Diceros bicornis minor: one gene and its partner. The protein of the gene in region 1 interacts with the protein of each later gene in a biochemical or structural test. Links are inferred from orthologs where the notes say so. Each region holds a gene or a part of one and is shown in the gene's direction. Other genes may lie near its edges. The genes, in order: FYB1 and SKAP1.

Region 1 (3,919 bases):
AAGAATGAATAATAAGGAACATCATTTTTAGTAAAGGATTTTGTATTATTACAGTGGTAATTAGCATCAGCTCGGCATCAAGCGAAGAAATTTGGTGCCCCTCTACTAGGTAAAGGCAGTAGTCCTTACAAGATCTAGAAATTTGCAACCCCAAAATAAGGAATCAGTTGCCTTTCCTTTGCAATAGGAAAGAAAGATGATTTTCTGCCCTTGAAATTACTTTAGTATCAGGCCATATATTCAAAATAAAGGAGATAATTCCGTGTACCAGAATATGTTCAAAGAGGTACTACGGATGATTGGTGTGAAATCTGACTACTGGGGATCAAATACCATGCCCTTAATATCTCCTTCATCAATGTGAGAGACTGAGGCATCTGATGCTAACAAATATTACCAAAAAGTTAATTGACATGTACTTTATATTTTCAATGAAGTGAATGACATCCTATCATAAGCTTATGAATATTGCCACTATTTAAATGTTGATGAGATAGATTTAAATACATTTGGAATTGTTGATTAAAATTATCATGATCCTTCTGTTCATTTTAAGATTATAGTGATGTTTTTAACAAGTACTATGTACTTAAAATAGAAAAGTCAAAAAGTCAGCAAAGTACAAAACAAGAATTATTTGTAATAATATCTCCATCCAAGTCAACCACTGTTAACATTTTAGAATGGGTCCTTCATTCATAGATAGATAGATAGATAGATAGATAGATAGATAGAAGATAGGTCCACAAATACCGATTTTGTAGAAAACAGGTTAATAACGCACATAGAATTTAATATCCAGGCACTTTTTAAAAAATTGTGTTAATCTTGCAGACTTCAAAGCATCACCTGTACCTGTTCTCATATGATTAAAGTGTGATAACTGGATAAACCTGGCCAGGTATACAAATGCTCTGCGGGCTGAGATAATATGCAAATAATCCTTACATATCAATGTGTGAAAGCTGGACAGACCACACAGTTCAAAAAAGGAAGTACGCTCTGCAAAACTAACTTGCACATTCACTGTCCGAGTTACAGCATCTTCGAGGTCGCTGTGTGCCAGGCATATCAACTCTTTTCAAAAAAAATGGTAAGTAATAGATTTTATGACTTTCCCTGGTCTGGCAAACATCTAACCTTCTCTACACGGAGCAGAGAGGGGTGGGGGGTGCTACACTGCCAGGTCCTCCCAGCGTTTGGAATTTTTCTTCTTCCCATTGTTCCATTTGCTAATGAAGCTGCTGAGTCTATCACAGCAGTTGCAAGACTATGGCTTCAGGAGTTCCCTTTTTTGTTCGAAGCCTTCAGAACTGAGGAAGAGCTATGCCTTAGAGAAAGAAAAGTTGTATTCTTTGTCTTTGCCTCTTGAGATAACTGGATGCCAGAACCAGCAGTCAAGTTTCCTGTTCCGAGCACTTTGGATCCCAGAAGAGAACTCCAGTGATATACGTGGGGCAGTATTGCTGATGATGAGAGCCATTTTGACAACACAGTACATTTTACAAAGGAGCTCTTTTGTTTAAAAAATTCATTTCATTATTTTAATTAAGAGAAGCAAACAAAGCCCAAATAGTCCAAACCTTAAGGACGGGTTGTGTTCCCAAAGTTAATTGAAAGTCATTATCTGGAGCACACTTAAAATAGTGACTGGTTTCCCAGTTCCCATAAAAACTAGCTTAACTCATAATGTAGCTGAACTACAGTGTTAATATTCTGCTACACAATTTCATATTCTTTCTCTGTAGAAACTGGCTGTGTTCTTCTACATGCAGTGTTCTTATGCTCCCAGAGTCTAGAAGAGAGCCAACTTTTATCTCCCACACTCCCTCCCCCACTCCCCAGCCCCTAGAAGACTGGAGACGGGTTATCCTTTCTCTCCTTGTAGAGAGGATTACTTCCTTTGCCAGTTCCCAGTGAGAAGATAGCATTGAGACAATGACTCCTACAGGGACTCAGTGGGGGAGGGTGTGTGTTGCAGACAGTGGAATCGAGAGGGCAAAGGATTCATGGGATGTGTTTGTAGTCTGGAAGCTCTTAAACCAGAATGGGGAAAGTGTAGAGGTGAGGATAACCTTGCCATGGGGGAGAGAGGGAGAAGGGGGAGAGATGGGGTCAGAGTTGCAGAGTCACAGGGGAGAGGAATGCACAGTGGTGGAGGAAATTGTAGCACATGACCCTTCCTGTAGCCACATCTGTAAGAGGAAGGCAGCCATCTGTTAAGGTGGGACTTACAAGTCCCTCTAGTGTCTCCAAACTGGGTCTTTAGGTCCAGAATTCTTAGCAAACAGCTTGACCTTAATTACTGATATCATCTTCAAAAGTAAACAAGGGCACTGTGGTTTACAAAGAGTTATTTGGATTTTCTTAAGGAAAATGAGATGATCATAGCAGAAAAAAAAAGTTTAACTGAATAGGGTATGTTTGGTAATACGTAAGCAATGTTTTCTTAAGAGCTCGTCATCTTGTTATAAAACTAGCACATATTATTAAAGAAAATTTCTTAAAAATATAGATATGCAGAAACAAAACAATACACATTTTCTATAGTTCCATCACCTAGGGGGCAATCATTGTTAATACAGATCCTTCTAGAATTTCATCATTTTTAAGTATATTTTATAAATATAATTTTCTATAAGTGCTATCATACTTTATAAACCATTTCCTTATCTGATTTTTTATGTAAAACATTTTGAATAATATATGAGTTAGATATCATTTCTAATGATAAGTCATTCTTAATGACTATGTAGTTTTTCCATAATTTAATTTAATCAGTTCCATATAGTTAGACATTTAGGTTTCATATTTTATTTTTCTTTCTGTATGGTACTACGACAAGACTGTCACAAGCGTTCTTTTATATACAGTGCCTGATTATTTTCCATTGACAGAACTACTAGGAGAAGAGCTAAGTGAAAAATACATCTATTTAAGATTTTAAACACAGATATCCTCTTGTTAAACAATATATTTCAAGTTTACTTACTATATAGTGGCATGGTAAGTGAATTTCCCAGTTGCAATTATGTATATACATGCTTATCTTTGTAGCATGTCCAAGTTATACTTAAAGAGGAAGCAGATTTCCCTTAATTTTTCTCTCCCCAGCATTGCTTCTGACATTTCTATGACAGGTTGTGAAAGGCATGTAGCATATTAAGAAAGGTGTTTTCTCCTTGAAAGGCTTCATAGCACAGTCAAAAGGCCATGTGCCTGGCTCCTTAGGCTTTGCTTACCAGTTGTATGTTTTTTTCACAAGTCCCTTAAGCTCTGAGTTTGTTTCCTTATCCAATAGTGGTGACATGATGATGATGCTGATAGTTACTGTGGAACAGTGTCGTTGTAGAGGGTAAATAAGATTGCAATTATAAAGTACCTACTATAGTGCAGGCACCAACCGGATACTGGATAAATATTGGTGTCCGTCGTTCTAGTCCTCAAAAAATAATTTCCTAAGGAGGCATAGAGACTTCCAGTGAACACAGGAGGAGAATGATAATGGCAGTTAACATTTGTGAGCCCTGACATACACTGTCTCGTTTAGTCCCCATAACAACCCTTACGAATCGTGACTGCTCTTATTCCTATTTTCTCGCTGAGTACACTGAGTCTTGGAAACGGTTAAGTCACTTGCTCACAGTCACACAACTATTAAATATTGGGACTGGAATTTGAGCACAACTCTGTCTGATCTCAGAGCCTGAACTTTTCTACCTTATGCTGCATCTGAGAAAAAGTAGGTACAGAGGAAGACAACAGCGTAGTCCAAGAAAAGCCCAGGCCTGGCTTTTAGGAGTACGAGGGGCCTTTCCTCAGGCTGGTGCCCGTCCCTGTTGGATTTGGGAATCAGCTGCGTAGCTGCTTCTGCTACTGCCACTATGAATTGTCCTATTTTTAGAATGCTCACTTTATT
Region 2 (3,919 bases), on another chromosome or scaffold:
TGACAACCATAATTTCCCTACACCATTCAGTAAAAGAGGGTTATTAGCCATTCCTCAAGCAGGAGAAGGCTTCTGCATCTTTGTTTACTCTGGTCCTTCCCCCTGGAAAGCCCTCCTGCCCCTTCAAAGTCTGGTGTGTTCAGAGCCCACCTCAAAAGCCACATGCACTGTTAAATACACATAGACCGGCCTCTCCCTCCTTTTCTTATATTCACCTCCCTCATTTTATTGCCCACTGCACCTTACTCCTTTTTCGTGGCACTTGGCCTATTGTATTTTTTTAAAAAGTAAACTCTTTATTTTGAGATCATTGTGGACTCACAGAAGTTATGAGAAATGATACAGAGCGATCCTGTCTATCCTTGACCCAGTTTCCCCTAGTGGTAACATCTCGCAGTATTGCAGCACCATAGCACAACCACGACACTGAGCCCTGCTGTCCCCTGAATGAGAGGGGGAGGTCTTTTCTGTGATCTTGCCCTTGACTTTCCTCTCTTTGTCAGCTCTGAGGGGGAAAGGGCTCCGTTCCCCTCTCCCTGAGCTTTCTCCCCAGGTTACCCCTTCCTGTCCTCACATCCTCTCAGCCTTAGGGAGGACGGGACACTTGGGCTTCCCGTGTCCACTGCAGCCATGCAGCTCTGATTCTCCCAGAATTGGTGGGTTTACATTACTTATGGAGATTTAAGGTCATTCCCTTTAAACATCGTGGTTTGCCTGAGATAGCGAACGTTCTACCCTGGTTTTCTGGGCGTGGACGTGCGAACTGGACTGGGAATTGAGTGCTGCAACGCTGGGCAGGCACTAATCTCTTCCTCGGATTCTGCCTCCTCGCGCCCCATTTAGTGCACCACGGTGGCTTTTAAACCTGCCCCTTGAGGCCGACGTCCAGTGCTTCGGATGGGAAGTCTCCAAGAGACGAGGTCCCTTTGAGTCGCGTGAAGTCTTTTGTTTTGGTGGGCGGGTCCTGGAGGGACACAGCTTTGGCCCTGCATGATGCGGCGCCCCCCCTCAGTGCACCGGCGCGAGTGGCGCGCGCACAGGTGGCCCCCACGCCCCGGGCGCCCCCCGCCCGCCGCGCGCGCCACTTCCTGAGCGCGCCCGGGTGCCCGGCCCCGCCCTGCGGCTCGGCCCCGCGGCGGCGGCGACAGAGGTACAGGTGCCTCCGCCGGCAACCCGCCGCCTGCCCGCCCGCCGACCTCGGCACCGGGCCTTCACGGCCCCCTCCCGCCTCCCACTTCGGCCTCCCCACCGCCCCGCCAAATGCAGGCCGCCGCCGTCCTCCCGGAGGAGATCTGTTGGCTCATGCAAGGTAACGCCCCTGCCCGGGGGCCAGGCCCCCTCCCCGACCGTCCGGTTGCTCCCCCAAGTGCTGAGCCGAAGGGAGGAAAGGAGACGCCAGGGGCTCCCGAGGCCGGGCTGTCTTTTCAGCTCCATCACTCACCAACTTCTAGAACCTCAAGGCTTCTAGAGTCTTCTACCCTGCAAAGCCAGGCTTTCATCCTCCCGCCTCAGGGGCCCTTTCACTCCGCTCAGTTCCACGCTTTCTTTTCCCTCAAGGCGTTCCACTTAACCTCCCTGGCTTCTGAACAAGTCCAGGACAGGTTCCTGGTCCTCTCTGCCACCTTGCTGTCTTCAGCCTGTCCCTTTCTCCTCCGGACTCCCCCTAGGTCTGGGGGTTTTCACCCGCCGCCCTCCCTAGCCCTGACCCCGCCACCTCTCACGGAAGACCCTCACCTTCTGCTTAGAGCTCCCTGAGGCTCTCGAGGGGCTGCGAGGGGCTCATGGCATCCTGTGGGCCAAGGCCTGGGGGTAGTTGTGAGTTGTCAGCGCCGACACCCCACGCCTGTGTCACCAGCCGGAAGACTTCTAGGGTCTTGTTATCCACCCAGGGCAGGCTGATACTCAGTACTACATTTCTTACTTTTCTAGAAGTGCCCCACTGTGGTGTGTTCACCTTCAAACTACAGTGCCTAAGCACTCCTTTTAAGAGTTAAGGCCATGCTCACTGACAATCCACACATTCTTCTGACACTCCAAAGAGACTTCTAGCTAATGGGCAATATCGTCTGCTCGGTTCACACTTTTTCTGGTGAAAGTAACTTGCTTTCCTGTAACTGACCTTCTGGGAAGGACAGAGACTTGGAATCTGTGCTTGCATAAGGGTCCCCGGAGGAAGCTGCTCAGAGTTAAGCCTTTTGGCATCTAAGTGACATTTTTGACACATATTTAACAGATGGCCTGCTTTGGGCAGGTCATACTTTTGGCAAGCAATATTTTTTTCAGTTTCTCTCAATTTAATTGGTTTTATATCTCCATTACCTTGTTATCTTGGTATAAATGCCTCCTAATCAAATATTTGGCAAGTCCTTTTGGTCTCTGTTTGTAGCACTGTTTCCATTCTGGATTGCTTCTATGTAAAAGCTGTCAACTAGGTATTTCTTTTGAGGTGAAGTTTCCAAAATCCATTTTACTTATGACCTGAGTAAATCTAAACTTCCAGAGGAGAAAAGTATTTACGGGGTAAAAGAGCATCATCTGGGTGTCTAGGAAGAAGCAATCCAACTTTTCCTTCTGCTATTGGTTCAATATTTGATATGTAAAGAGAGGCTGTAAGTGTCTGGTTTCCAGAAGAGAAGGAACTGGCAAAAAGTGTAATTCTGCCCTTGCATTTAAAGATATAACGTGATTCTTTTTATTGGTATCTGTCATTTGATGAGAGGAAACCTATTTTACAAGCTTGTTAAACTATACTACCGTTTTGTGTGCAGCCTTGGTAGAAAATTCCTTTTTCTTTCCAGAGGCTTGCAATGAAATCCACTCCTTCATCATTTTTGATGTGCAGTTCTTTATTGTTCAAAACTGACACTTTGGTAAACAACTCATTTCTGCACCTGCCACCTTCCTTTAGCTTAGATTATTTTCTTGTTAGCTGACTGTTTTTAATTGAAGTCTTCAGATCTCCTTCTAAAGCAGAACCTTTGTTTGCTGACAAGTGGAGCAGGGTATGAATGGAGATTAATTGCATGTCACATACTTCTGTATCAAACTTGCTGTGTCTTAACAATGTCTGTAGGTTCTTGGGTCTTTAGAATATATAGAGGAGTCTGAGATTAAATTTTCATGAGCTTTGTTGGTTGGTTAATGTATTTCTTTAAGGCCTTTTCTTAAAGTTTGCGATTAGAGTGAATCTGAAGCAGAGGAAAAAATGTAAAGAGGGGATTCGACCAATAATTCTATTGAAAAGTGTTTGAAGAATATGTTTTTGAAAGGTTCATGTAATCATAGCAACATATTGGTTATAGGTTTTGTTTTTTATGGAATACAGTCTGTGGTGTAGACCAGCAGAATTATTCATTGTACTGCAAATAATTTGTGGATATTAGAAACCCATAATGACTATCAGTTTATTGTCTGTTGCTGTTTACTTGTCTCCTCCCCCACACACTTTTTAAGGTTAACTGTTGACAATTAGAAAATATGTAGGTCCTGATCTCTATATTGTCACTCAGTGGAGGGAGTCACAGGGTGAGAGAGCTGCCTCTTTAGTGCTGCCACATGGCCGTGGGGGTGGAGTTTCCACAATGAATTACTACTTTCATAAACTAAGGCACGAGCATTTGCACAGTGATTTAACGCTGGCCATCACAGCCATAACTTAAGCATTTTTTAATTTATAACTACAAGCATAACTGACAGGGGCATTTTTTGACATAATGTGTGTGCTTTTAAAAATAAAATATGCAAAGCATTGTGAAAGGTTTATGCCAATATTTTGCATAATGAAGAAAGGAACAGAAATTCTGAAGGTCTAAAATTAATTTTATTTAAGGATAAATTTTTAAACATTTAAAAATGTCTCATTTGACCCAGAAACCCCATTTCTAGGAATCTGTGTTACTGAAATTAAGGGACATGAAGT

The links.
Region 2: the proteins of FYB1 (region 1) and SKAP1 form a complex in vitro, tested with the Homo sapiens proteins (2 studies listed by BioGRID and IntAct, with this or other methods). The link is inferred for Diceros bicornis minor from reciprocal best matches to the Homo sapiens genes FYB1 and SKAP1.

The regions. Positions count from the first base shown.
Region 1 is NC_080759.1:30,295,589-30,299,507, forward strand, and holds the start of FYB1 (FYN-binding protein 1), read left to right. Parts: upstream 1-1,036; 5' UTR 1,037-1,090; coding exon 1,091-1,093; intron 1,094-3,919. UniProt on the Homo sapiens protein: Acts as an adapter protein of the FYN and LCP2 signaling cascades in T-cells. May play a role in linking T-cell signaling to remodeling of the actin cytoskeleton. Modulates the expression of IL2. Involved in platelet activation.
Region 2 is NC_080757.1:37,531,000-37,534,918, forward strand, and holds the start of SKAP1 (src kinase-associated phosphoprotein 1), read left to right. Parts: upstream 1-1,145; 5' UTR 1,146-1,260; coding exon 1,261-1,309; intron 1,310-3,919. UniProt on the Homo sapiens protein: Positively regulates T-cell receptor signaling by enhancing the MAP kinase pathway. Required for optimal conjugation between T-cells and antigen-presenting cells by promoting the clustering of integrin ITGAL on the surface of T-cells.